4 linked regions of the Arabidopsis thaliana genome follow. The protein of the gene in region 3 interacts with the protein of the main gene of each other region in a pairwise test. Each region holds a gene or a part of one and is shown on either strand. Other genes may lie near its edges. The genes, in order: AT5G14600, UPP, AT3G46810 and AT1G49580.

What was found.
Region 1: the proteins of AT3G46810 (region 3) and AT5G14600 interact in a two-hybrid assay, tested with the Arabidopsis thaliana proteins (one large-scale study listed by BioGRID).
Region 2: the proteins of AT3G46810 (region 3) and UPP interact in a two-hybrid assay, tested with the Arabidopsis thaliana proteins (one large-scale study listed by BioGRID).
Region 4: the proteins of AT3G46810 (region 3) and AT1G49580 interact in a two-hybrid assay, tested with the Arabidopsis thaliana proteins (one large-scale study listed by BioGRID).

What each region holds. Positions count from the first base shown.
Region 1 is NC_003076.8:4,703,561-4,710,829, reverse strand, and holds AT5G14600 (S-adenosyl-L-methionine-dependent methyltransferases superfamily protein), read right to left. Parts: upstream 3,940-7,269; 5' UTR 3,768-3,939; intron 3,358-3,767; 5' UTR 3,313-3,357; coding exon 2,864-3,312; intron 2,775-2,863; coding exon 2,530-2,774; intron 2,071-2,529; coding exon 1,808-2,070; 3' UTR 1,667-1,807; downstream 1-1,666. Other genes in the region: AT5G14602 (methyltransferase-like protein), read right to left, coding at 1,152-1,394; AT5G14590 (Isocitrate/isopropylmalate dehydrogenase family protein), read left to right, coding at 4,203-4,461, 4,616-4,659, 4,747-4,856, 4,973-5,010, 5,103-5,180, 5,332-5,385, 5,470-5,571, 5,664-5,752 and 7 more.
Region 2 is NC_003074.8:19,953,650-19,960,981, forward strand, and holds UPP (uracil phosphoribosyltransferase), read right to left. Parts: upstream 5,427-7,332; 5' UTR 5,358-5,426; coding exon 5,220-5,357; intron 5,201-5,219; exon of another isoform or gene 5,108-5,200; coding exon 5,006-5,107; intron 4,919-5,005; coding exon 4,840-4,918; intron 4,610-4,839; coding exon 4,551-4,609; intron 4,461-4,550; coding exon 4,383-4,460; intron 4,293-4,382; coding exon 4,211-4,292; intron 4,104-4,210; coding exon 4,055-4,103; intron 3,979-4,054; coding exon 3,917-3,978; intron 3,754-3,916; coding exon 3,686-3,753; intron 3,614-3,685; coding exon 3,558-3,613; intron 3,464-3,557; coding exon 3,416-3,463; intron 3,335-3,415; coding exon 3,265-3,334; 3' UTR 2,941-3,264; downstream 1-2,940. Other genes in the region: AKR4C11 (NAD(P)-linked oxidoreductase superfamily protein), read left to right, coding at 280-356, 467-554, 723-998, 1,088-1,336, 1,436-1,522; AT3G53890 (Ribosomal protein S21e), read right to left, coding at 1,933-1,998, 2,104-2,236, 2,351-2,400; AT3G53910 (malate dehydrogenase-like protein), read right to left, coding at 6,207-6,251, 6,316-6,575, 6,776-6,797. UniProt on the Arabidopsis thaliana protein: Uracil phosphoribosyltransferase (UPRT) that catalyzes the conversion of uracil and 5-phospho-alpha-D-ribose 1-diphosphate (PRPP) to UMP and diphosphate.
Region 3 is NC_003074.8:17,236,580-17,243,617, reverse strand, and holds AT3G46810 (Cysteine/Histidine-rich C1 domain family protein), read left to right. Parts: upstream 1-2,994; 5' UTR 2,995-3,085; coding exon 3,086-5,146; 3' UTR 5,147-5,387; downstream 5,388-7,038. Other genes in the region: TOPP5 (type one serine/threonine protein phosphatase 5), read left to right, coding at 353-912, 998-1,171.
Region 4 is NC_003070.9:18,348,018-18,356,133, forward strand, and holds AT1G49580 (Calcium-dependent protein kinase (CDPK) family protein), read left to right. Parts: upstream 1-3,306; 5' UTR 3,307-3,593; coding exon 3,594-4,157; intron 4,158-4,258; coding exon 4,259-4,389; intron 4,390-4,520; coding exon 4,521-4,562; intron 4,563-4,653; coding exon 4,654-4,762; intron 4,763-4,845; coding exon 4,846-4,924; intron 4,925-5,022; coding exon 5,023-5,319; intron 5,320-5,417; coding exon 5,418-5,533; intron 5,534-5,614; coding exon 5,615-5,722; intron 5,723-5,826; coding exon 5,827-5,889; intron 5,890-5,972; coding exon 5,973-6,140; intron 6,141-6,223; coding exon 6,224-6,367; 3' UTR 6,368-6,617; downstream 6,618-8,116. Other genes in the region: AT1G49570 (Peroxidase superfamily protein), read left to right, coding at 1-82, 280-695; AT1G49590 (C2H2 and C2HC zinc fingers superfamily protein), read left to right, coding at 6,980-6,988, 7,097-7,297, 7,388-7,472, 7,863-7,958, 8,055-8,116. UniProt on the Arabidopsis thaliana protein: May play a role in signal transduction pathways that involve calcium as a second messenger.

The sequences.
Region 1 (7,269 bases), on a different chromosome or scaffold from region 3:
ACAGAAAATGGTACGGCAAAGACAAAGAGAGATATCGACATTTCGGCACGAAGAAAAAAACGAAATTCGAAAAATGTAGGTCTACGAAAAAAAACAAGAACCTGATTTCACTGTCGAGAGAGTATGAGAATGAAGAGCAAAGGAAAAACCAAAGAAGAAGACCTAAATTCCTCTCTATAACTCTACGCCACAGAGAGAAGAGGAAACGCAGAAAAGAGAGAGACTGGAGTGGAGAAAAGTAAGGAGTGAAATCCGTGCCGGTTCGTTTCCAGCTACATTTCTTTTCTTTTAATATAATATCGAGGGCCCTCTCAATTCCTTATTGGGCTTAATCTTCTCTTAGCTTATCTTAAACATTTATTTGGGCCCATGTTATTGTAGTCCCTTAAAAATCACTCTATACAGATTGAATCAAGTTTTTTTTTTTTAACATCTGATTCATTCATTGATATGAAATCAGATACAATAGTTGGTCATCCAAATTACAAGAAAGTTATACAAACATATCCAAGCAGAATTGCAGAAACAAAAGCATAACTAATTAGGATTTAGGACTATATGAACAATGAAAACTTATATTATATGGTGCTTTTTGTTGTCCTAAATCTCTATCTCTCTATATAAGTTTGGTTTCTTTTTTTTAGCCAAAACCTTCTGAAAGTAGGCCATAATTTCCTCTATATGTTTTTACTTTAGAAAAACAAAATTATGTATAAAGAAATTCCAATCTACTCATATCATTACCGATGTGAATGGCCTAAGCCACAAGCTAAGCTATTCACATCTTAAGACTTAAGCTTTGTAAAAGGCTTTATCAACTTGTTTTACAAGATTTGTTAACTCTTTACTCTTTAGTATGTAATTATGTATTAAGGTTGGTTATGGTTAAATTTGTGGGTTTGATATGATCTCTATCATCTAGTTCGTTCGTTTACCTTCAGATTAATATATTAGAGTTGGCGGGAAGAATAAGGTTTCTTTATTTATACGAACGATGAAATTCAAGTACATGAATACCAAATTAAAGAATGAATGAAACTACCAAATTCAGATGAATTCGGACAAGATTTACGAAAACGAAGAAACAATTTTTCTTGTTCTCAACTTTCTACATATCAGAAGCCAAACAGGCGAAACTTTGTTTATATCGGTCATTGACTTCTCTGACGCATCTCCTTGAGATTTCTCCAAAGGTATCTTCCGCTAGCCATATCAACGAACGTCCATAACCCATTATCCATCTTTCTCTTGAAATCGAGTCCTTGTTTTTCCTTGGCTTCGGCTTGTAATAACTCGTCTGAGAATAGTTCCGGCGTAGAATTCACCGTCCTCCACGCGATATATCCTGCGAGTACCGCCGAGAAGAACACTAATACAAATCTCAAGGGACACATAATTTCTTGATGGATAAAGGGAAAATTATAAGAAGAGGAAAAAAGAATTTGGATTTTGATCTCAGGCTTTCGAAGAATGGATCTCTAGGGTTTGTGAATAGACAATTGTAAGAGAAAGAAAATTAAACAGACGTTTTCGATATTTATAGAGTGCATTACATGTCTCCTTCTCCCATCGAGAAAAGGAAACGCGTTTCTATTTATATATTACTTGTAGAACAATTTATCTCTAGAAACTACTATTTATCATATTTCAAAATTTTGGATTTTGGTTTTGTCATTACCAAATTTCGAATTTTGTATTCTAGAAACAAATTCACAGCAATTATTTTTTTAACAAAAAGAAAGCGTAATAAGACAAATCATGAAAATATCTAATACATGAATATCATAATGTAGTTGGAGAATTTGGACTAAGCTAGACATTGGAGTCTTGCAAACGTTAAGTAACCGGTGTGACCTCTTGCTTCACTACAAGGCCGAGCCATGACGACTGAAGAAGCATTAGAAGAGTTGTCCTGTGAAACAGTGTCGTTTTCGTTTGAACGGTGCTTTCTCTTGCAAGGCCTCATTCCTTCATTGTCCTCCTCGTGGCTCTCACCAACCATGCTACTGGTATCCATTTTCACTTCCTTCACTTCATATGTTCTGAGAAGCACCTCAAACGTTCTTATCTCTGCAAAAAACAAACTCATCATGAGCAAAAACCGGTATAAGAAAGAATGAAACTCTCAAGGAAATAAGGACTTATATGCCTATGACAGTTGGTTTTGATTCCCCTGACTTTCCAAGGCCAAAGAATGTCAAACTATTTCTCTAAAGATACTTATCTACTTAAAGCAATCCTTTCGACTTATTAATCCAAAGATGTGTGACCATAGAAAGTCGATGATACATATTGGAAAAAATTGTAGACTAAAGAACAGAACTTCAGTCTATACAACATGATTTTAGTACTAGCCACTAGGATTTGAAAATCGAGGAGAGGTTCAGTCCCAAATTCACTACTTTAGTACTTTGATTTTTAGGATCCTTCCAAGGCAAGAGCATTCGGATAATGTGTAGATCTAGAGCTCTTTTAGTTTGAGTTGGAGAAGAAAGTAGAAAGAGATGTTGTAAATCAGAATAAACTTACCAATGAAATCTGATCTGAGGACTTCACAAGTCCGTTGTACTTGCTCGATGCAAGGTGAGAAAGAGCATAGAACTCCATCCTGCTTTAACATCTTTGCTGCAGAAGGAACCGCAAGCCAAGGCTGTGGAAGGTCTAGAAACACAGAATCAGCCAAACCTGACAGTTTCTCAGGAAAACCCTCTCCTTGAATGTCTCTAACCTCTACGGTTACTAAACTACTTATGCCCGTCTTCTCAAAATCTTCCCTGTTGCAAAGTAAAGTAAAGGATGAATAAATACTATAGCTTCAAAAGAAAAGCACAACGAGATAGCTAAAGAAAACGAAAGTTTCTACCTTGCAGAGACAGCTCGCTGCTCATGGAAATCAAATGAATAAACGTGTCCAGTTGGAGCCACAGCTCGAGCAAGTGAGGTCGAAAGCGAACCACTACCTGTGCCTGACTCAAGAACAACACAGCCAGGCACGACTTCTAGATACATAACCACAAAGCTAATATCCGCAATGTAAAGAATTTGAGTCCTGTGGCTTAAAACCAATGTCCATAGTTCAGGAGTAGGAGCCAACAGGTACACAAATTTACCCTTGTTGCTGAATACTTTCGTCCCTAATGGTTTCCCAATCCAATCCGAGTGCTTATACACACCAAAACGGTTCTGAAGCACACCGTCTTTACTTACTTTAACTGGTTTCATCACATCATGTCTTTCGTAAACAATAACTAAGTCCCCATCTTCAATACACCTTTTGAATGAAAAGGCTTTCTTTGACTCAGTTGGTAACATCTTGAGATTATGAAATCACTTGTAGATTGAGTTCCAGCTTCTGCTCTGCAATTCCAAGTCTCATTGTTAATTACTAAACAACACACTTTTTAACTCAGAAAACAATGAATTCTCACAAATCACGATATATATTCCCAATCTAGCTATCAATCCAAAGCTACGCATTCTACGCAATATTGCACAGCCAATCAAACACATTGAGATTCAAAATCATTGTAATGAATTAGCTTAGATGCACAGAAGAAAAACAATTTAAAGTTTGATTAAGTTAAAATTTAAGAAAAAAGCTAGAAAAATCCCATTCACGGATCCAAAAGTCCTAACTTCAACGAAGAGACACAATTTTTTAATACAAGCGGGTAAAAAACTGGAACCAAACACAATTACCAGCTTCTATAAGATAAAAAGCTGAAAGAAACAGTTTAACAATAGCGAAAAACGACAGAAATACTCACAGAGGAATAATCACGAAGAAAGCTAAGAACTTGAGCTGATAATGGAGTTTGGGTAATAATGTTTTGTGAGAAGGAAGAACAATAAATCTGACCAGACAAAGAAATAAAACCTCTAAGTAGGGTTTTCGCTTTCCTTTTTTCAAATCAAATCGGACATTGAGACCAACCGGACCATATTACAGATTTGGTACCTTCGAACCGGCAAATCCGGTTTGGGTTTATATAGACAGAAAAATTTACTGGGCCTTATGTTGGGCCTACTGAAATAATCTATACGGCTCTCTTTTCCTTCTTGTTTACCTTGCCTTTTCGCCGGAATCGTCGATTATTAGAGAGCTCAGAGCACACTTTAGCAATAAACTTGCCGACCGAAAGCTGCAGATTCACTGATTCAGTGATCGAAGTTGAGAGTTTGGGTTGAGGTCGGAGTCTCGGATGCTGAATAAGCTCACGCACGGCGTTTTCACGTACCGTGCCAGCCTCACCGCCATGTTATCTTCTTCAACCTCTGCTGGTTTATCGTCTTCGTTCGTTTCTTCGAGATTTCTTAGTTCCGGTATATTCTCTAGTGGCGCTTCGAGGAATCGCGTGACTTTTCCCGTTCAGTTTCATCGCGCATCAGCTGTTCGATGTTTTGCTTCTTCAGGCGGTTCTGATAGAATTCAGGTTCAGAATCCTATCGTTGAAATGGATGGTGAGATTCTTTGCGCAATCAGTGTTCCTTACTTACATTTGATCGTAGTTTCCAGATAATTGGTTGGATTGGTATAAGTCATTTGTTTATGTTCTTACTGAATTTGGTATCTTTGAGAATGTTTCTAATTTGTTTATATTTTGTGGAAATTCAGGCGATGAAATGACGAGGGTGATATGGAGTATGATAAAGGAGAAAGTAAGGATGTAATTTATCACCAAGTCTGCAACAGTTGGTTCATTTTTTTTTGACAGAGCTCACATGTCTGATTTCTTGTCTTTGCAGCTTATTCTTCCTTATCTGGATTTGGACATTAAGTACTTCGACTTGGGGATTCTGAATCGCGATGCTACTGATGACAAGGTTACAGTTGAAAGTGCAGAAGCAGCTCTTAAGTAAGTGCTATTGATTCTTTGCATTTTCTATGGTTTAGATTCTTTTAGTAACAGAAAACATTTTAATTTCTATGTGAAATAAGCTGATTTCGCGCTTAAAACTTTTATGTTTGCAGGTACAATGTTGCTATCAAATGTGCCACTATAACTCCTGGTATGTGATGTCCTTCGCAAATCGCAACACATATGCTGCTTGTTCCGATCAGAGGAAGCATTTTTACATCTTCTGTATGTTATTTTTGGCAGATGAGGGTAGAGTGAAGGAGTTTGGACTGAAATCAATGTGGAGGAGTCCTAATGGGACGATCAGAAACATTCTAGATGGTTTGTCTCTGTATTGTCAAAAAACAATGCATGTTTGCTGAATAGGAATATCTTGGTTAAATTGCTTGCGACTTTTTATTTTATCCTGTTAGCAGGTTCTTTTACAATCTAGTATCTACACATTTCTTACACAGTGTTCTATATTTTCTAGGAACCGTATTCCGTGAACCTATTATGTGCAGCAATATCCCCCGGCTTGTTCCTGGTAAATTTATTTGCCTTGTTATGAATCTGTGTTAGGATCTGTTTTGAGATACCAAATGAGAACTCAAATCTTTTGTCTTTATAGGTTGGGAAAAGCCTATATGCATTGGTAGACATGCCTTTGGTGACCAGTATCGTGCCACTGATACAGTAATTAAAGGGCCAGGAAAGTTGAAAATGGTTTTTGGTAAGATCATACCAAACTATATTCATTAGACAATGAGGATTCTTCAATCATATAGTTCAGATTCTAAGTGGATACATCTCTTGTCTAATTAGTCCCAGAAGATGGAAACGCACCTGTGGAGCTAGATGTATATGATTTCAAGGGCCCAGGTGTCGCACTTGCTATGTACAACGTAGATGAGGTCTGTCTCTTTTAGTAACTGGCTTTAGTTTTGGCATGGTTTTGGTTTCTGACAACCATGCTGGTTTTGTGACATGCCAGTCAATTAGAGCTTTTGCTGAGTCATCTATGGCGATGGCATTAACTAAGAAATGGCCATTATACTTGAGCACCAAGAACACAATTCTCAAGAAATATGATGGCAGGTTTGTTTTTATCTTCTTGGTGATTTGAAGTCTGGGTTTCACTTTTCAGCAAGCGAGCTGCTTTAATATGTGGTGGAACAATACAGATTTAAGGACATATTTCAAGAAGTTTATGAGGCGAATTGGAAGCAAAAGTTTGAAGAGCACTCAATCTGGTCCTTTTTCTTAAAAAATTGTGTTCTGCGTCCTTTTTCTTTACATATTCATTAAAGGTAATATGTGAATAATACTGTTGGTTTAGGTACGAGCACCGGTTGATTGATGACATGGTGGCTTACGCAGTCAAAAGTGAAGGTGGCTATGTCTGGGCTTGCAAAAACTACGACGGTGATGTTCAAAGCGATCTTCTTGCCCAAGGTATAAATTAAAAAATATAGTTCTTAAAATTATTATTTTTGTATCGATACAGCAACTAAGATACTTAATGCTTCCTTTCTTTATTCTTTTCTAAATGTAGGGTTTGGCTCATTAGGCCTCATGACCTCCGTTTTGGTTTGTATCGTTAACCGAAAGCCAATATTCAATTTTTCTTTGCAAATGAAAGTCTTGATATGATATGTTTTGTTCAGCTGTCCGCTGATGGGAAAACACTCGAGTCGGAAGCGGCTCATGGAACAGTAACTCGGCATTTCCGACTGCACCAAAAGGGACAAGAAACCAGTACTAACAGCATAGCCTCAATATTTGCATGGACACGCGGCTTAGAACACAGGTCTCTTGCCTTTCACACACGGTCTACATTACTAGTTAACTGAGTTCTGCATTTCTTTATGCATTTACACTGACAACGTTCTTGTGTCTTGTAACCTAGTTTCTCTTGATTTTCATTTTGATGGATTTTTTTTACCCTTTTTGCTTCTCAAGGGCGAAACTGGATAAGAACGAGAAATTAATGGATTTCGTGAAGAAGCTCGAGTCGTCATGTGTAAACACTGTTGAGACAGGGAAAATGACCAAGGATCTTGCCCTTTTAATCCATGGTCCCAAGTAAGTAGTCTTTCCTTTTCTCACTAGCAGCAACTTTTCTATTACAATCTGGTCATGTGCATGAAATACGAAAGAGCTTAATCTGTCTTGAACTTTAATGTGAAATCAAATCCAAACTGATCCTGTTCCAAGCTGATGAATGTGCTGAAAACTCTAATTAAGTTGTGTATTTTAATAGAAAACCATATAGAAGCCAAACCGATTCATACTGGATTAAGTTATAATGCTGTTACTGTTCTATTATCGTTCTTGATGGTTTAATAAAACATTTTTAATGCAGGGTGAGTAGGGATTTGTTTTTGAACACGGAAGAGTTCATTGATGCAGTAGCCTCCAAGCTCAAAAC
Region 2 (7,332 bases), 2.7 Mb from region 3:
CTTTTGACGGCTCGTTACTTGATTTGCCTTTATATAGAACAGTATATAGTATGATCGTTCTTACTCGATTGGCTGTTTTATGTAATTCTTACTAAGGTTAACCAATTTATATTTAGGAATGACAATTGCACACATTGTCTTGTGTATCTTTTTCTTAAACTAGCTTTAAGTTATGTAGGATTAATGGAGTTATTTGTTATAGACTGTTTACAAGTTCATTTGAAATGTGGCTTTTTGTTTTTCTTGATGGAGAAATTGAAAGCTTTTTTTAACCTGCAGATTGGGAAAGTTCTGAAGAAGTTGTTTGATGATGGCGTAGTGAAGCGTGAGAAGCTGTTCATCACATCAAAAATCTGGTATTTTGTTCATGAAGTTTCTGCATCTCTATCATTTTTATGCATTTTCAGTTTCCCTCGTTTGCTTAAGCCTCTTAACCTATTAAAATCTACAAATTATGCAAGCACAGGTTGACTGATCTTGACCCTCCGGATGTACAGGACGCATTGAACAGAACTCTTCAGGATCTGCAGCTTGATTATGTTGATTTGTATCTCGTAAGCACGACTTCTTTGAACAAATGCTGATTTTTTAATAAGTTCTAACAGTTTTCAAGATCCGTTCCTTTCTTCAATATCTAGCCTGAATTGTCCGGATCTCTGGATTTGAAACTATACATATGCTTGCTTATACTTTGATTTGTTTCATTTGATATTTTTTTCAAGATGCACTGGCCTGTTCGGTTGAAGAAAGGTACTGTTGACTTTAAGCCTGAGAACATTATGCCTATCGATATTCCGAGCACATGGAAAGCAATGGAAGCACTGGTTGATTCAGGCAAGGCAAGAGCCATTGGCGTAAGTAATTTCTCTACAAAGAAACTCTCAGATCTTGTGGAGGCTGCTCGTGTTCCTCCCGCTGTAAACCAGGTGGAATGTCATCCTTCATGGCAACAACATAAGCTACATGAGTTTTGCAAGTCCAAAGGGATCCACCTCTCAGTAAGTTTTAAAACACTAAACATTTCCAAATCATTTAATGAGTCCGAATGTCATATTTATATACACTTCGTGAATGTTGATTGTGGCAGGGATATTCGCCATTGGGATCTCCTGGAACAACGTGGGTGAAGGCCGATGTTTTAAAGAGTCCGGTTATTGAAATGATTGCTAAAGAAATCGGGAAGTCTCCCGCACAAACCGCGCTTCGATGGGGACTTCAAATGGGTCATAGTATACTTCCCAAAAGCACAAATGAAGGAAGAATCAGAGAGAACTTTGATGTCTTGGGATGGTCTATTCCAAAAGAAATGTTTGACAAGTTTTCCAAGATAGAGCAGGTAAGTGAAACAATAAACCACATTTCTGCAAATTTCGTATCTGTGAGTAGTCTTAACTGTAACCTCTTGTATTTTGGATTTTGAATCATCTCTGTGCAGGCTAGGTTAGTCCAAGGCACGTCGTTTGTTCATGAGACGTTGAGTCCTTATAAAACACTTGAAGAGCTTTGGGATGGTGAGATCTGAATCAAAAGATGTCTTTTGTTGAATTTTAAAGTTGAAAAAGAACAAAGTTCCACTGCTTTAAGCTTTGATCGAGAATGTGTAAACGATTCAATTTTCAATAAAAGTAGGATTTTGCAGACATATTAACAATCTCTTATGTTCATACAGTAAATCACTAATCCGAGAGGTTGATGATAGATAATCTAACAGTTATATTTGAAAGAGAAATATAGACGAGTATTAGACTGTAGATAGAATCTGATTCCATTGGCCTCAAAGCCTAATAATTATCTTTAATAAAGCAGAAAAATCGAAAACATGAATTCGCATAAAGAGAAACTAACATTTTCAATTCAATGACAAAGCCACATAGCTAATAAATCGAAACCTCAAAAAACAAACAAGAGCTTATGACATTGTCAGATTGTCTCTCACTGTTGTTTAGCTTCGACCTTCTTCTTCTGCCAGAGCCTGTCCACGCCACTGTCTGCGTCTCCCTGCAGATGCAATCATAATGTCAATATACATATACAATCATGAACTTTGTTATAACAACTGTGGAGATGATTATAAAGTAATTAGCAGAGTGGAAATTCACAAACCTGAGCACGGACAAATCCGCAGAGAGCAAAAGTGGTGAATTGGCCAGTGTAGAGACCATTAGCATCAAGATGACCAATGTTAAGCTGAACTGAAGCATGATCCTTTGATGTGATCATTCTGTTTGTTGCCGAGCTAAACAAATTACCATTACACAACAATAGAATCAGCTTAGGCTACTTAATTAAGACAATTAGCTTAAGATTTTAATCAAACGTTACACAGAGAACAAAGAGAGCTGATATATACCATTTCCTTGGAATGTAGAGCTCTGTGACCTGACCTGCGTCGTTCTCCATTTTTGAGATTTAGCTTCAAAAAAAAATCGATCTGAGCAAGTAAACAAACAAAAAAACTAATCAGATGAGCAATAGAACCTCGAATTAAGAGATTCATCAAGAATAATTGATCACATTCAACAATAATATATAATCAACAAAAGACACAACGAGATAACTAATTCTGAAATCGAAACCTAGATTATTCCGATGCGTTAATTAGCAATACAGTGAAAGGAGATTAAGATACTACGGAGAAATTCTCACCTGCGAGGAAGAAGAAGAATCTGAGAGAGGTTTGGCGGCGACAAAGATAGGGTTTGCTTAATTCATAGGTTTATTAGATTTATAGTAGCGAGCTAGGGTTTGCTTATTTCATAGGAATGACTACTATACCCTTCAACTTTTAATTGAAGAGCAATAAAAACCGATCCAATTAGAGCGGTATACAAAATTAAATCAAACCGAAATACTAAACTTTTTCAACCAGAATTGTACCGACAGTTAATTGTAACCGGAATCGAACGTAACCAAACCATAAATACTGGTTCAGTTTGGTAGTAACTTAAGTTCATTCAATTTGATAACAAACTTTTATTATTGGTTCAAATGTTTGCTTCATGGATGAATTTTTCAGATTTTCTTGCATACTTTTTCCCAAAATGGTTTGTGGTAGACAATTGAGAATGATACACATAAAATGGTTGACAAGTTTGTTCTCTGTTTTGTAATAATGAGGAATTCAGTTTTTCTTGTTTGTGAAATTTTGACTCTTTATCGAAACCCTCTCAAGAACCTGAAATCACACATCAAAAACAAAGTACAAGAGACACAATATATAATCTAACGATTGTGACTGTTAAAGTTTAACAACTCATACAAGTATCACTTCACCCAATGTGTTTCTGTCCCGAAACTGCGGTCTCCAGCGTCTCCAAGCCCAGGGATTATGTACCTAGTTCATGACAAATACATAAGGACATTAAAATACAATCGCCAGTTTTCATATGGAAAGCCAAAGAACCTAATGACTTACCCCTTTTCATTGACTTCAGGATCAATAATTCCAGCATATACATGAAGCCTGAAATGTTTCAAATAGTAGCCAAACAGTTTAGTAAAAAGAGAGTTAACTAAATGGTAAGCAAGGTGAGAGTTGATCTTTTGCTATTGATTACCCGGGGAATTTCTCGTTAAGCTTCGATAGTGCAGGAGGTGCAGCAATCGCACAAATCTGTAATCAGAAAAATCAAAACAATTAACACTTCGATTTCTGACAAAAGCTGTTTCCTATATATATGCTTACCACTTTGATTTGCTGAACAGACAAACCACGTTCCTTCAATAGATCCATCGCCGCCATTATGGTACCACCTAAAATACAAGTTACTAAGTTACTAAACCTACGCTTCTAGCTATGAAACATTCGTATTACCATGTCATGCGTTCACATTCACATATTATCGTGTACATTTGAACATCAAACCCTAACTATACTTCTAATATGGAGGTGGCTAAAATGATAAGACTTTCTTACCTGTGGCAAGCACTGGGTCGACCAAAAATACTCTTGAATTCTTGGGAAATTCATCAGGCAACCTAAAGAAGATGTATCAAAGGTGTTATTATAAACACTTCAGTAACTACAAACACAATGCTGCAGAGAAGTTCTTACTTGTTAAGATACACCGATGGTAAAAGTGTTTTCTCATCTCTACTTACTCCTGTAAAAGAAAAGAAGCACGGGGACATCAATAAGCTATTTGATAAAAGTTTTCATTTTTGACATCCGAAGTTCAGGCAAGAGATGATATATAGCTAGATTACTAACCTAAATGATAAATTTTATTAGCAGGTAAAACTGAGGATGCGTGTTCCGCAAGAGCAAGACCAGCTCTTAATATCGGAACAACCTACACAGAGACAAAACCAAGAATTAGAAACGCTTACATGTAAGGTCGAAAAGAAAATATAGACAGGAAGAGTTTGAGGGATAAACAAACCGCAATAGGCTCTCTAGGATCAATGAATTCAACAGAAGCAGGACCCATTGGAGACATTATTTCACCCACAACAGTTGGCTTAACCGCATAGAGCAAAAAACAAAAAACAATAAGCAAAAAACGGGTAGGAAGAATTCAAGAATAATAGAGATGTGAAATTCTACGCACCAGCCACTCTCGTGATGCTTCATACATGAGTAATCTCCCTAGTTCAGCTATTGCATTCCCTAGATAATTAAAAAAACTCAAGCTTTAAAGATCAACACAGACTTATACTAGTAGCAAACCTAAAAAAACTCATATTCAAACGCAATGTAGCAGATAACACCAATCTAAGAGCTAAAGATTGTCCAACGAATCAAAAAAAAAAAAAAAAAAAATGGATGTAAAATTCAGTTCTTTAACAACAAACACTGGTTAAATCGCAGAAATACTCATAAGAATCTTATCTACTCACTGAAAACAGGACAAGGAGTTTGTTCATTTCTCAGAACAGAGATCCAGTGTTTGATCAAAGGATGTGGTGGCACAAAGACCTGAAACACCAGAATCAAATTCACATCTTTCACTTTCAAATCAAACTCAAAAAAAATCTGAAAATTGAAATCCTAGAGTTTTATTACCAGCATCCTGTTGCTCCCGTTAATGGAAGCCTCCGACGCAGCCATTTTTGTTCTAGCTCGTATAGTCCGTCGGGAAAGTGACGAAGAAGAAGCACCCAAATTCTTTAAAATAATCCAGAAATTCGAAAATCAAAATTCAGTTTGAATATGCAAAAGGCGTTACTGGAAAAGTGTGCTTTGGACATTAGAATAAATATATATATATACTCGATACCTGTGCGAGAATTGGGGAGGAATTAAAGGAGAGGAAAGAGGAAGGATTAGGGTTTAGGCGGCTGCTGCATTGTTGTCGGGGAGCAAAACGCAGCGTATCAGAAGAACACCTGAAAGCGTTACCAATTGAGCACGCCATTTTCGACGAGATGTCCGAATCTGGTTCGAGATTTTTGCAATGACGATAGCGCGGGCGAAGATTAACCGGTCGTCACTACTGTACCGAATAACTTTGGGTCTACTTATTACACGGCCCATTGGGCTTTTATATTAATTTTTAGCAATTTCTTTCCAAACAGAAATCTACAAATTAAGGAATAAATTAATAAATAATTTATTAATTTACATAGAGAGTTTTCTAATGTAGTAACTTTTTAAAAGTTTCTACAAGATATTTTTCATCATAGAGAATATCTTTCTAAAACCAATTGCAAGTAAAAAATAATTATCATGTCTATAAAACAATATCAAAAGTTTTGATACAGTAAAATATTATAACTAAATTCAAATAAGAACAAATACGAGTTTAAGCAAAAAAATATTAGAAATTTCTTACATATAATATATTAGATATATATATATTTTATATTTATACAATTACTAATTTATAATATTGATGGGATCATATATTTACATAGGATTTTCAAAAAAATTATTATTTTATTAATTTATCAATTTGTGTCACTTTTTACAGTCCCAACTCGGGACTGGAAAAAATTATTAATCTTATATAGATTATTAATTTATCGAGTATTAATTTATAGAGGTTTTACTATTACAATAAACTTGAAAACTTATTTAGACTAGACTCCTTAACTCTTCTCCTCTTCAACTCATTCATCAGTTTTTGTAACAAATCTCTGAAACTGTACAAACCAGACACGGATTCTTTGTCTGAGAATTCAGGCACAATTAAGAAGTCCTAAGCCCTGTTTGAAGATTCTCAAAAGTCTTTAACCAAATACAGCAAAAAATGTTTAGAGAAAGATCAAACCACAATCAAAAGTTTGTAAACCGAAATAGCAACAAAAGTCTAGAGAAAGATGAAACAACACACATAGAACCATGTCTTGTGGATGTAAGAAAGATTCACTTACCCTCTGTAGCAAAGTGATGTCTTTCTCAATGGTAACTTTCACTCTCGGCTTGATAGCTTTAATCGCTCTCTCCTCGTATTTGGCGAGTCCCTGAAGATCTGAATCTATCACTTCCTCAATTCTCTTCTTCCCAATCTTTGTCCTCGTAGCAAAATAAGGGAGCTCGGTGACCGAAGAGGCCACAAAAGCAAAATCGAAGACGTCATCATCTCCGTCCAGAGCACGAATGAGTGACTTTAGAAACGATATCATAGCGTATGCTGAAGTGAAAGATCGGGAAGCCTAGATCGGAGATAACTCGAAATGTTAAGTCCCGCGAAAGAGGAAGAGAAAAAAAGAATTCACGGAAGAAAAAAAACTTAAAACGGAGGACAAAGACGAGAAGGAAGGTGATTATCATCCGATTCACTTCCAACCCGACGATTGAACACTCCAAGTTAAACGAGAAAGAAGGACTCACGGTCCGAGTTTCTAAGGAACATCCGAATTTCTTTCAACTCTCGGTCATACTTCGCAAAAGGTAATCGGATTTTATGACCCGCATGTGAGCTAAGCTTTAGCGGGTTAGACCGAGTTAAGAGACATAGAGAATCCGAGAGGAAGTACCCCGAGAAAAGAAGAACCAAGAAAAAACTTGATCCGAGAAAGGAGTTGTCGTTAGGTGGTTAGATATAATCTTTTTCAATTAGTAAAATTAAAAATTAAAATTTTTTTATATATATAATAGCAAAAAGTATGAATTGTTTATAATTGATAAAATATATAATACTAAATTACATAATAAATTTTATAATTGGTTCAATTGAAATTCAATATAATAATTGCACAAATGCAAGATAATTGATACAGCTATATTGTAAAAGTAATCGAAGGATGTGTAGATTATCCAAGTGGTTAGGATTTTATAACTTGTACAATATCTATTTTCACTGTAATATAACTATATAAGTTTACAACCCCGTACAAGACATTTTACACTCGAGGATCTCCAATGTTACTATTATAAACACACAAGAT
Region 3 (7,038 bases):
GTATCTTTTTACCAATTGATGTCACTTAATAATAGATGTCTTTGTTGGGCTTACCCTGTTCATGGAGTCTTGGAATTTGCGTAAGAGAATCTAGTTTAGTCATTAGAATGCTAATGGTAATAGAGCTTGTATGGTCACGTGATAGGAAGCAAGTTCTTCTTGATCTTTTCTTATGAAAATGCATTGGTTTCTCTGCTTGTATTCAAACACCATTAATTATGGTTCTTATGGGTTCATAGGTTGATGTGTAACATTTGTCTTTAGGCGATTGATAGTCTTGAAATCTTAGAGACTCGGTTTCTGGTTAATACCTAGGTTGATGTTGTAGCTTTTTGTCTTTGTATTGTTGCAGGTGATATTCATGGTCAATACTCAGATTTATTGAGGCTTTTCGAGTATGGAGGTTTCCCTCCTGCAGCAAACTACTTATTCTTAGGAGATTACGTTGACCGCGGAAAGCAGAGTTTGGAGACTATTTGTCTTCTGCTTGCTTACAAGATCAAATACCCTGAAAACTTTTTTCTCTTAAGAGGAAACCATGAGTGTGCATCTATTAACAGAATTTACGGATTCTATGACGAATGTAAACGAAGATTCAACGTGAAGCTCTGGAAAGTGTTTACCGATACTTTTAACTGTCTCCCTGTGGCTGCTGTCATAGATGAAAAGATACTTTGTATGCATGGTGGACTATCTCCTGAGTTGATCAATGTGGAACAAATTAAGAACATAGAGCGTCCAACTGATGTTCCAGACGCTGGTTTGCTCTGTGACCTTCTTTGGTCTGATCCTAGTAAAGATGTCAAAGGCTGGGGGATGAATGATCGTGGTGTCTCCTACACTTTTGGTGCTGACAAAGTTGCTGAGTTTTTAATAAAGAATGATATGGATTTAGTCTGTCGTGCCCACCAGGTTAGTACATTGTATAAATGTTTCCTCTAGTTTTTTTGTTTGGGAAATCGAATCTGCTGCTCAAGAACCTATAATGCTCCCACAGGTTGTAGAGGATGGGTATGAGTTCTTTGCTGATAGACAGCTTGTGACTATGTTTTCTGCTCCAAACTACTGTGGTGAATTTGACAATGCGGGTGCATTGATGAGTGTCGACGAAAGTTTAATGTGCTCTTTCCAAATTCTTAAGCCTGTGGATCGGAGGTCGCGGTTCTTTTGAAGAGAAAGAGGTACAGATTTGAGTGTTTCTCAAAAACCGTTGAACTTCCTCTTTGTTTCAGAATCTCAGCTAGCTATATCAGTTTCATCTGCAATATTATAGTTAAAGTTCATGCATCTCATAATAAGTCCATAACTAGCTTTCATCGAATCTCATGTTTCTTAAATTTTCGATTCTGATAGTTGCTCATTCGACTTACAGCGAGTCAAAGAGCTTTTAAAAGTTTGTTTCGCAGTTTCCATGTTTCATCTTTTTTGAGCTTTGAAAGCGTTGTTGCTCGTCTGAGCTCTTACAAGTTCACAAATTTGCTTTTGCAGTCCTTCTTAAGTTATAACCCTGATTCAAATCTTATGGGAAGAATGGGAGGAGAAAAAGCGACGACGGATGTTGGTGGCGGATAATTCTGAACCTCCACGAGTAGTCTCCGAAGTTGCAAAAGCAACAATATATATATTTACATGGTTATATCATCTCTGCCACTTCTTTTGAATATGATCTTGTTTCTTCAACTCAATTTTTTGCTCTGTTTCCTTCTCTGTTCTTTCACATGTCAGAGATACAAATCCTCTAAGTGTATATAATACTTTATATGTATGTATCAGAACCTCACTGCAGGATGCTTCAGTTCATGATTCTTATTAAAACAGAGGGTTCTCTAGACACTAATTAGCAGCAGATTTGTAATTGTGGCTGTGGTTTTCTCTAATTGACTCCACAATCATCGCATGTATACGACCACTCCTTAACATATATATTTACCTAAAAAGATAATACTATATTCTAATCACCCCACGCTGGCGATGCTTTTAAAGTTCAATTCATTACATACTCTATAGTCTATGTTATCGTTATTGAAATATTCAGATCACCATGCCCTACGAAATCAACACTTTAAATTAAAATGTTAATAATCAACGTATAAAATTTATTCTGACCGTTAATAAACTGTTAATAAAGTATCATAGAGAGCCATTCTCACTTTGAAAACGTTTTACTATGAGTATATGGTGTCGAATGGTTAGGCTATACTAACCAAAACAAATGGAAAGTATACACATAGTAATGCAATTGCAAATATATATTTTAGGCTATAATAAGCAAACGTTTTCAACCCAACTTTTGCTCTGCTTTGTTCTCATTCTCTGTTATTTCACATGTCAGAGTAGATACAAATCCTCTAGTGTATATATACTCTATGTGTATGTATCAGAATACTGCTGTCACTGTAGGACGTTTTTGTTCATGGATTCTTAGTAAAACCGAGGGTTCTCTAAACACTAGTTAGTAGCAGTTGTAGCTGTATTCTTTTTTAAAGGGCTTTGTTTTATCTGTCACATTGCAAACAATGACGATGAGACAACCCTAATGGAGAACCTGCTGGAGCACATTTGGTTGAAACCCTAAATCCTGGAAGAACACTTAAACTGGAGAAGATCCAGCAGCAGATCGATGGCTTTGTCGTTTTCAATGAGGTTGCTTCTAACAACTTGTAGAAAGATATTACAATTTAATAAAGGCCAAAGATAACACCTTCGTCACGTACATAGGATCCGCACAAGTGGAAGATAATTCAAATAGTCTACGTTTAATAAAGATTAGAGTAATGGTTGGACAAAGTACCGTATAGTTAGGATCAAATTATTTAACAAAGTATTAATTAGTATTGTTAATGAATTAAACTCGGAAAGTATCGATTGACATGGTGAGACATAGCTGTCTCTCAGTTGACATCGGCAAAAGAATATTTTTCAAGTGGCCTAGTGATAATTTAAAATATATGGATATATCTATAAACTATTTTACTTAGATCATCAATGTAAATTGTGAAAGGAAAACAAATTCATTTTTCTTGATAATAACATTGAGATCACTAGAGAAGAGAGATTGAGGTTTGATTAATTTAGTGAATTCAGCATGGAAAAAGTGGTGCTACGGGTTCATGACCATCCTTTGTTACCCTTTGAACGCTTTTATTTTGGCCGTTGTTCCGGGTGCTCACGTGAAGGCTACTTTTATGGAGGCTACCGTTGCAATGAGTTGGCGTGTTTTGCGGTGTTCCATAAGGAGTGCGCTGAGTCCAAACCCGAGATCAGCCACCATGCCCATCCCAAGCATCTGCTTAAGCTTGGCAATAGACGTCAACGTTGTCATTTGTGTGAACGGCCGGTGGGAATTGGTTATTTTTGTTCGATATGTGACTTTGGTATGCATTTGGTTTGTGCGAAGTCCCCACCACTCTCACTTCAGCCACAACTCTCTAGTATTGAGAATTACAAGGTGCATGAACATCCTCTTAAACCTTTCAAAACAGCATGGCTTGCAGAAACTGGCAATTGCAAAGGGTGTAACTACATTATCGGCAATGGAGATAGCGCTCCTTTTTATGAATGTCGTCGGTGTAAACTTTACATTCATGTGACTTGCCTTGAGCTCTTTTTCACCACAGATGCACGCCACAACTCTCATCTCAAACACCCTCTCAAATATCTCAAAAATGGACCCCCGAGCTACGCCGACCATAAATGCCTTCTTTGCGGAAGAGAGTTTGAAGATCAACAAGGCCAAAAATATGAGCTTTATCACTGTGATGTTTGTAACTTCAGCATATGCATTTCTTGTCAGGGAAACCCACCACCACTAGTTGTTGTTACTCCGAAGACCCACGAGCATCAACTTCACCTCATTCCAAGACTTCTTGATTTTACTTGCAATGCTTGTGGGACACAAGGTGACCGAAGCCCTTATTTTTGTCTTCAATGCAATTTCATGATTCATCGAGGTTGTATCGACTTACCCCGCATCATAAACATCAACCGCCATGATCATCGCATCTCTTACATTTGTCATCTCGGACAAGGGAATTTGAAATGCGGAGTTTGCCGCAAAACAGTGGATGGGTTCTACGGGGCTTATTCCTGCTCGAAATGTTCTAGTTACGTTGTTCATTCATTATGTGCAACTAGAAAAGATGTATGGGACATGGTAGAACTAGAAGGAACACCGGAAGAAGAAGAAATTGCGCCATTCGAGGTGGTTGATGAGAACACAATAAAGCACATGAGTCATGATCATGATTTAATATTCAACAATGATGGTATAAATCTCCATGAAAGCAAGCTTTGTGAAGCATGCGTCTCCCAGATCAATACTGATCCGTTCTATAGTTGTGAGCTATGCGGTTTTATTTTACATCAAACATGTGCTAATATGCCTAGGAAGAAAAGGCATGTTTTGTGCAACATACCCTTCTCTCTACAAACAGACGATAGCAAGGATTCTTCACGCCTAAGAAGAAAATGTAGTCTTTGTCTCCAACATTTCACTGGATTTGCGTATAATCTGCATATTGCGTATAACTCGCGTACCGAAGTTATGGATATACGATGTGGTTCGATATTTGAACCATTTGTTCATGAAAGGCATCCACATCCTTTATACTACAAGTTCTTCACCTTTTCGGCGGTTGCGAAGTGCGACATCTGTCACATAACAAGAAGGCATTTGTTATGTTGTGAAGAGTGTGACTTTAGGTTGGATTTCAGGTGCGCAACTTTACCAAAAAAAGTAATGAAGCAAAGGTACGATGACCATCCACTTTTCTTGTCTTATGGTGAAAATAATGTGGATGGTGAATACTGGTGTGACGTATGTGAAAAAAGGGTAGATGCAAAGACATGGTTCTATACATGTGATGCTTGTGGGGTCACTTTACATGTTTCTTGCGTTGTGGGTGACTTCTCCTATCATATGCCAGGACCATTATCAACCGTAGTTAGCGAATACAAAATGGTACCGCCCGCGGTAGTAAGCTTATACAAAGTGGTGCCAAACACTTCGATTTGTAGACCACTTTGCTCCAGGTGTCACACTAGATGCAAACTCCCTTGCATTCTTGAAACCTCCGAGGATGGTGTTAATGTTTACTTTTGTTCTAATGATTGTCATAAAAATCCTTGGGAGTCGTCGTATTATTAGTAGCGCACTTGGTTTATTTATTTCTTTCTATTTTCTTATTTACTTTTCAAAGAGTATTTTACTTTACGTTTATTATTAATAATGATAGGTTTTGTTTGTGAAACCTATCTAAACAATTGAGAGCGTTGAAGGATTTTATCGGGTTAGGCCAAGGGATAGTTCTCTTGGGAGAGTTTTTCTCTTGTTATATTATCGTTTTGTTTATCTACTATCATAATAAAAGTTTTGGTTTTGAATTGCATTCTATCTTGTACAGTTATCATCTTTCTTTTACCCAAAATTTGCTTTGCTTTCTTTTCATTCTCTACATTTTCACATGTCGATATATGAATCCCCTAGTGTTATATGTACAATTTATACATATATGTATCCGACATGCACTAAAGGGTACTTCCATTCATGGATTCTTATCTAAGAACACTAACACTTAAAACATAGTGTTCTTTACTAGTAGATGTTGATTGTATATGGAGAAAGCACCGAATATATGCTCTGGTTTCTCCGCTGTTTCACCTCTGGTAGCCCAATATTTAAAATTATAAAAATGGCATCTATGTTTTGATTTCCCGAGTGAAGAAATTTTTTAGGTGTTCTTCAGGATGCAAGCTTCCTTATATTCTTCAAATACAGGAAACTTTTGTTGTAATAAGTGTTGTGGGAACACTCACAACTATTGTGGTCATAATTTGTTCTCAATAGTTGTAGTGTATGATGATAGTAATGTTGTGGGAACACTTAATGTACAGTTTCTATCGTTGTTTTTCTCTTTTGCCAACCTCCGTGAATAAAAGAATGTTTTACATAAATTATAGTTTTTTTAAATACTTGCATTTAATTTGATCAAATCAGTATAGTGCTTTTTATATAATTAACTAGTGATCAAACTAATTTATTCAACAATTTTAGTTATACTGTCTTCCAAAAGCAGTGATAAATTTAATCTTATGGTACTTTCTTTTTTTGTTGCTATCGGAGGTTTCTTGCTTAACAAGCAAGTAGCGTTCTTCTCTTAAACTATTTCCCCTACGTAAGCCGCCAAACATGTACCGCCAAAGCAGCTTCATCATAACAATAGATTCATGGTTTTTCCGTTTTCAAGGAGTTTGCTCTAGGCTCTAGCAAATTGTATTAATATTCTACAATTTAATAAAAGGCAAAATAACACATTCGTCACAAACATAGGATCCGCACAAGTGGAAGTTAATATAATTAAGATTAGAGTTGTAATTGGGCAGACTATAAGTCTATAACGTACTATTAGGATCCAGTGATTTAATAACAGTATTATTGTGTATTTTTAATGAATTAAAATCGGCAGAATTAGCTGTCTCTAGTGGGATCTGCAACCACGGAAACAGCAGAGAAACTAGTGGCATCGACAAGTAAAACCCCGTTGCTCTTGTGTTGCTTGTATCTCAAGAAAGCACAGTTCTTCGCTATTTCGCCTCCGGGAACCCAATACTCACACCAAAACCTATATATGTGCAAGATGACGATCGTTTTGTTCTCCCGGATTAAATTGGTAGCCAACTAGCTAGCTCGTACGTTGAAAATAAAAGTCATGAAAGGGCCAAAAAAAATCTTATCACTAATCTTGGATCTACTCAAGTGGATGATTGATTATACATAATAACATAAACTATAAAGTAGTTGTATGGAATTTCTATAATTCTATGAGTACGATCAAAATATTTAATAACACAGATAACTATTATAGAGACGACTTTTATTTGGAGTATTAAAAATGAATAATTCCCGGAAAGTATGGATGTATGTCTATAAATTATTTTCTTCGATCGAGTTGAGAGATTGAATCGTTACAGCAATTAAAAATCTCATTCCATTTAAGAAAAAAAAGAAAAAAAAAAAAAAAAGTCACCTTTTCCTTCAAA
Region 4 (8,116 bases), on a different chromosome or scaffold from region 3:
TCTCCGTTTGAGGCGTTGGAGAATATAACAGCCAAGTTCGTGACCCTTGGACTCGACCTCAAGGACGTTGTTGTCCTCTCAGGTTTGGTCACTTCAACTAACGATAAATTATAGAGATAAAAATAATAATATCGATTGACTATTGTGTTAATTAACCAAAATAATAAAAACAAACGTAGCAAAATCGATTATTATAAACAAACTTAGATAGAGTAAAGTACTTCATTAGGCATGTATATACATGAATTTATGCTACGATATGACTATACGTGTATGTAGGAGCACATACTATAGGATTTGCTCAATGTTTCGTGATCAAGCATAGACTCTTCAACTTCAAGGGCTCAGGCCAGCCTGACCCAAACCTAGCCGCTTCCTCAGCACTTCTCTCTAAGCTAAAGGACACGTGTCCTAACGTGGACTCCTCAGACTCTAAGCTCGCTGCTCTTGACGCAGCTAGCTCAGTCAAGTTTGACAATGCTTACTACGTGAACTTAATGAACAACATAGGACTGTTGGATTCTGATCAAACCCTAATGACAGATCCTACGGCTGCCGCCTTGGTGAAGTCGTACAGCGAGAATCCGTACTTGTTCTCGAGGGATTTCGCAGTTTCAATGGTTAAAATGGGGAATATCGGAGTTATGACCGGAAGTGATGGAGTAATTCGAGGAAAATGTGGATTTCCAGGTTAAGTTATATATAGACTCTTCACAAAATCCAAATCAGTCTATTATATATCTAGAGCTAATCTAGCTTTAATGAGGAATCAAATAAACCAAAGTCTATGAATAAAATATGTTTTATATATATGGTGTAAAAGCGTCCTTATGTATCAATATATATATATATGGATCCCATAAACAAAAATACTTGGACTTGTATGTGTGTTACGTTTGTGTGTAATGGAAAATGTATTTGTCTTTGTATTTTTATATTCCAAAATTAAGTCGAACTCCCTCACTTGAACGAATATAAATATTCTTAGTTCTTGATTGGGGTTTAACTAATGATCATAATTTTACATCTTCTTCCGAAAATCATGGTTCTTTTTGTTGATATAACATACATTTTCTTAAAGTATTGAATATACTAAGTCTACATAAATATACACTATCTATCAAAAGTCAAAACAAACAAACATCTTAGCGTGAAAAAAGAAAACATCTTCGAAATAGTTAAAGTCTTAAAAATTGCAACAATTCTTAAATACACTAACTTTTTGTTTAAAAAAATAAAAGAAGATCTTAATTCTTAATGATGAAAATACATAGTTGAAAGAGAAATGATGAAAATACATCCATCAAGCCCAAATACAAGCAAACCCCATTTCATATATTTCCACTTTAAATTCAGACTTGATGCATATATTTGTTAATTAGAAAAATACGTTTGAACATATATACATTTATTTAAATTTTGCGAAAAAGAAGCAAATAAGCATTGAATGATGATATACATCCATCAAATCCAAATGGAAGCAACCAACTTTGTAGGTATTGTGTTTGTTGATTACTGATTGGAAGACATAAATTTTAAACCATTAAAGTTTCTCCAACGACTTCAAGAAATTATCAAGATTAGAGTTAGTGGAAGAATGAGAAATACTTCATACTATAAGCTATTTTAATCTATTATACATATATAGTCTAAATACAAAATAGTAGTTAGGTTACGTACACCATCATGTTAAATGCAAAACACAAACAGCCAATAGAGAAATATCATATAATTCATGCAAATAAACTAAACATTATCTATTCCACAAATGAGATTAATTTTTTATTTAAAATATATACATATAACAACTCGAGGTTTAGTTTTAAGCGAAACGTATATGTGTGAAAATTAGTTAATGAACCTTATTTTTTCTTCTTTTATAGCTGGTTATTTCTTAATATTCGTGTTAATAACATTAGTAAAAACACAGTAAAGATTTTTTTGTCTAATATGATAAGTAATAATTAATTAACGTTACATGTCCGAGACGACCGCAAATTTGGGGCATACCTCTTGGAGCATTCGTCATTGTCTCGTTGATGTGTTTTCATATAACGTTTGGATAATTTTCAATTTAATGTCAAGACAATTTTGAATGCTAGTTATTCTGATCTCAAAAGAAGATGCTGACCAAGATGTTTATCTCTGATGTCATGCCTTGCACAATTTCAAACCAACCTACTCCTCTTTCTATATATACGTGGAGCCAAGTTTGTCAATCTTATGATTTGGTGGTACCATAGAGTCGAGTTGGCTGGTTCTCGCAAGGAGTTTCAAAGAGAATTTCAACACATGGACGGTTGGTGTTTCACGATGAACTAGCTCAAGTGATCAAATGTGTGGTTAGAGTCACACTCAAACTTGTCTTCTTTTTGCATAACTAAACGAGACATAAGATAACTTATTCTTTGAACTCTCTCGATTGAGATTGGCATAACACTCATTTTCTAACGGCTTCTTCTTTTGATAATATCAAATACATTCTTCTTCAACTATCTTTCCAAACTTCCAGTTGACCGAATATAACAGGAAAGGAATGAACGAACACAGACTCAAGCATACCACATTATTGACGTCTAATCGACGTAAAGATTCACCACATAATTCACTCCTTCTCAGATTCTGACACTTCTCACCTTTAAAACATTATGCAAACATAGTTTGGGGATTGTCGTTAGTTGACTCTTAGTTATTTAGTATGTCAATTTTTGTTTGTTCCAAACTTTCAAGAAAAAAAAAATGAATTTGATTTATTTTTTCTATCAAAGATATTCGTAAATAAAACAGATATTTCTTCTTCTTTGTGGTAACATATTTTTTGCAAAAAACTTTTACGAAAGAAACTTGTAAACTCTAGAAGCATATAAATAAAATAAAGTATATATTGGTTAGAACCTAATTACTAGGCTAAAAACTACAATTCATTATGATATTTTTTAATTCCAAATCTATACAAAATTATTTCTTACATAAATATATATGTAGACATGTATTCAATAATTTTCATGATAAAACATAGGAGTATTTTTTACAACTAGAAGGTTACATGTACTTAATTATCCTTAATTGTACCCACCAACTGTCAACTATATATACATACTCTATTTTTTTTACAGCAGCTATAATTTTCTTTATTTAAATTTTGTAAAGGTTCTGTTACTTCATTAAATTCAATTTACACAAACTTGTACAAAAAAAAAATGATCTCACAACCGTTGAAAAAATGACCTCATTTAAAAAATATAACAAAAATAAAATATGGGACATGAATGACAAACATAACAGATCGGAAATATATTTAAAAGACTGCAATAAATTAAGGTCATTAATACGTGGCCGGAAGCAACTAATTTACTAACCAATGCACACATCTACTTGCTTCGTCTTCTTCTTCCTTCTTCTTTCTACCACCATTTTCAGATTCAAAATTCAATTCTAACAGTTTCACTTCCCCTGCTCCTCTCTCTCTCTCTCTCTCGCTCTCTTTCTCATGTGATCTCTCTCGCTCTCTCTTTCTTCTCTAAAAGCCAAAACTTCGATGGCATTACTGTGATTTTCCTCATAAAGTAAGCTCCTTTTTTTCGCCGGAGATTATGGGAGGCTGTACTTCCAAACCCTCCACTTCCTCCGGCAGACCTAACCCTTTCGCTCCCGGTAATGACTATCCTCAAATTGACGATTTTGCCCCTGACCATCCCGGTAAATCACCAATTCCTACTCCTTCCGCCGCAAAGGCCTCTCCTTTCTTCCCCTTTTACACGCCGAGCCCTGCTCGCCACCGCCGCAATAAGAGCCGCGACGTCGGCGGAGGAGGAGAGAGCAAGAGTTTGACTAGCACGCCTCTCCGTCAATTACGCCGTGCGTTTCACCCTCCGTCTCCGGCGAAACACATACGGGCGGCGCTACGGCGGAGGAAAGGGAAAAAGGAAGCTGCTTTATCTGGGGTGACGCAGCTAACGACGGAGGTACCGCAGCGTGAGGAGGAAGAGGAAGTAGGGCTTGACAAAAGATTTGGTTTTTCTAAAGAGTTTCACAGTAGAGTAGAGTTAGGGGAAGAAATTGGACGAGGACATTTTGGGTACACTTGCTCTGCTAAGTTCAAGAAAGGAGAGCTCAAAGGTCAAGTGGTTGCTGTCAAAATCATCCCAAAATCGAAGGTAACAAAACTTGAGTTTAGTTTCTTGATCTTGATGATTGCATACTCTCCATTGTAGTGTTAGCTGATAGAATTGAATGTGTTTTGATTCTTTTTTGGCAGATGACAACTGCAATTGCTATAGAAGATGTGAGAAGGGAAGTGAAAATTCTACAGGCTTTATCTGGACATAAGAATCTGGTACAATTCTATGATGCATTTGAGGACAATGCAAACGTCTACATTGCAATGGAGTAAGATCATTATTTTATCATAACCTTAACCATTTCCTTGTTTGATGTTGAATTTAGTTAGGTTTTAGTTATGAATTTGGTAAAAAGAACCTATTGTTTCATAATTGGATTTAAGTAGTTTGAATTTGCAGGCTATGTGAAGGTGGTGAGCTTCTTGACAGAATACTAGCAAGGTGTGTGTCTGTGTGCTACTAAAGAGTTATCGATACTTATGGCCAGAGATTGTTCTTATTTTATAAAAAGATTCATCGTTTTTTTCTACAGGGGAGGGAAATACTCAGAGAATGACGCAAAACCAGTGATTATACAAATTCTGAATGTGGTAGCTTTCTGTCATTTCCAAGGAGTTGTTCATCGAGACCTTAAACCAGAGGTGAGGCACAATTTTGAACTGGAAAGAAGATTATGTTTTACTTTTATGTGTAGAATGTTTTCTGATCGCTGCTTCATCATCAGAACTTCTTGTACACTTCCAAGGAGGAGAATTCTCAGCTTAAAGCGATAGACTTTGGCTTATCAGACTTTGTCAGACCAGGTTCATCATCACACATTTTACTATGTCACTATTTCTCCAGTTCTTTTTCTTCTGGTTAGTAAACTAAAAATGGTATTTTGTGCCCCTTTTTTTGAAAGATGAGAGACTAAACGATATAGTGGGAAGTGCATACTATGTAGCTCCCGAAGTTCTACACAGATCATATACAACAGAAGCGGATGTGTGGAGCATCGGAGTCATAGCATACATTCTACTATGTGGTAGCCGTCCGTTTTGGGCAAGAACTGAATCCGGAATTTTTAGAGCTGTTCTTAAAGCTGACCCGAGTTTCGATGAACCTCCTTGGCCCTTCTTGTCTTCTGACGCTAAAGACTTTGTTAAGCGGTTATTGTTTAAGGATCCCCGGCGAAGAATGTCAGCCTCCCAAGCCTTGAGTCAGTCATTTTTAATTTCACAGCTCTTTATAGTTTTATGTCTCCTGTCTTTTGGTAGTCATAAATCACCAAATTCAGTTCCTATTTACTTTTTTCAGTGCATCCTTGGATCCGAGCTTATAATACGGACATGAATATCCCTTTCGATATCTTGATCTTTAGGCAGATGAAGGCGTACTTGCGATCTTCTTCATTACGCAAAGCTGCTTTGAGGGTATGTTTTAGGCATTCTTTTAAAGTGTCGAAAAGAGCATTGAAGATTACTTTCTCACTATTATGTGCTTTCTTTTCACAGGCGCTATCGAAGACGTTAATCAAGGATGAAATTCTTTACCTGAAAACTCAATTTTCTCTTCTCGCACCAAACAAAGATGGCCTAATCACAATGGATACCATTAGAATGGTTTGTGACACTATAACTTCTTTTATATTCCTTCCTCTTGAGAAAAAAAGAGAAACACCGTAGTAATCTAATCTGTATTGCATTTTTTGTTTCTGTTTAAACAGGCACTTGCAAGCAATGCAACAGAAGCAATGAAAGAATCTCGGATCCCAGAGTTTCTTGCTTTGGTAAATGACTGTGTTCTCTCGGATTTTGATAAATGCTTTAACAATTTGGTGTTAATGATCCTTCATTGACTGGCTTTTTACAGCTAAATGGACTTCAATACAGAGGAATGGATTTTGAAGAGTTTTGTGCAGCTGCTATAAACGTTCATCAGCACGAGTCGCTTGATTGTTGGGAACAGAGCATTCGACATGCTTATGAGCTTTTCGACAAGAATGGAAACCGAGCTATTGTCATCGAAGAACTTGCCTCTGTAAGTTAAAGCATCTGTCTTCAGCTTAAATACAAAAATATCGAAAAACAGATCCTCTAAAACGACATGCTTTTGAATTGCAGGAACTTGGTGTTGGACCATCTATACCGGTACATTCAGTTCTACATGATTGGATCAGACACACTGATGGAAAGCTTAGCTTCTTCGGGTTTGTTAAACTGTTACATGGAGTCTCTGTTCGAGCCTCGGGGAAAACTACCCGGTGAAGATAACGAAAACAAACATGACCTAAGCGAAATCGTAAAAGAAGATGTCAAAACCTTTACTCTAAATCTTGGATTGGTATTGGAAATGTAATAGTTGGTCAAAGACTGTACAACAAATGAAAAGTTTCTTACAAGAGCAATTCTAAAAAAAAGATTGTTGTAATAATATAGTAACCACAGATACTTTGATACTCTATGTGAAGTCAAGAAAATGAAAAAGAAAATTCCAAAAAGATTTGATTTTTGTCTCTCTTTCTTCCCAATGATTATGGAATCAGCGAAATCTTGGTTATTTCCGGTTTGTTACTGTGCTTTAATTTGTGAGATCTGAGTCGGTGTAACCAGTGAAAACCGGTTCTAGTGATGGAAATAAATTAGAATTTAGAAAACAAACCAAACCGATTTTCTTCTCCCCCAATTTTATATTTTGCTTCTCCTCTCGAGTTTGGGATTCGAGTTTAAGGAATTAGGGTTTCTAATCTCTCTCTCTTTCTCTCGAGATTTTTCTTCACTTAGTTCTTGATTCTGATTAAAAGTTGATCTTATAGTTCCGGTAACTTCGTTTTCTGGGTTTAATTTTCGATTCAATCTTCATCTCCTTGATCCACAGCCATGACTGAGGTAAATCAAAATTCGCATCTTTTCTCTCCAAATCTCTTTGAATTACGAAACCTCTGTCTTGTTTCGTAATTGAAATTGATCTTGAGTTTGTTTTTTGTGTTATTTCAGTATTGGGTAAGTCAAGGGAACAAATGGTGTGAATTCTGTAAGATATGGATACAGAACAATCCAACAAGTATTAGAAACCATGACCTTGGTAAGCGTCACCGAGAATGTGTTGATAAGAAGCTCACTGATATGCGTGAGAGGAGTGCAGCCAAAGACAAAGAGCTCAAGAAAAACGAAAAACTGCTTCAACAGATCGAAGCTGTGAGTAATCATTCTTGTTTCTTTTGCCAGTGATACTTATTCTAACGTATTTATTTCTGATTCCATTGTTTATATCTCAACTTGTTTCAGAAAGCAACTCGTAGCTATCAGAAAGATATTGCAACTGCTCAGCAAGTAGCTAAAGCAAACGGTGCACCAGAGGATGGTACATCCGGTAAGTATCTCTCTCTATGATGTCATTAGTATTTGTTCTTCGACTTATAGCTGCTATATTCAGGGTTGTTGCTTAGCTTTGGATCTGTTTGTTATAGACTTAACATTACTGAGGTCGTAGAGTATGTGTGAATTGGATTTGTGAATTGCTTTCATTGACCAAAAGTATGAACAAACCAAGCAGCGTCTGATTCTTCGATTGTCATATTACACATCTTTGCAAATGACTTATAAGTTTTAATGCCTATAACCCTATAGAGAATCATCACGAAAGAGCGAAACGGTTGCTTCTTTTGAGTCACTCTCAGGTTCTTTCATCATTTTGATTGCCATTTTTCTTAGCCTTTTTCATTTATACATATACCATGTAGTAACCATATTGTTATGGCAGATTGGATGCTCGACAGTGCTTCAGGCTATTATTACAACCAGACCAATGGTCTGCACTATGATTCACAGTCTGGATTCTATTACAGTGACTCAATAGGTATGTAATATATATCGAGTTTTTTTTATTTGTTTCCTTGCAAACATGATTGTATACAATTTCGTCGTGTGTATGCTTACACGGGTAATGAAACAGGACATTGGGTGACACAAGACGAGGCCTACGCTGCGGTTAAAACATCATCAGGAACCAAAGTA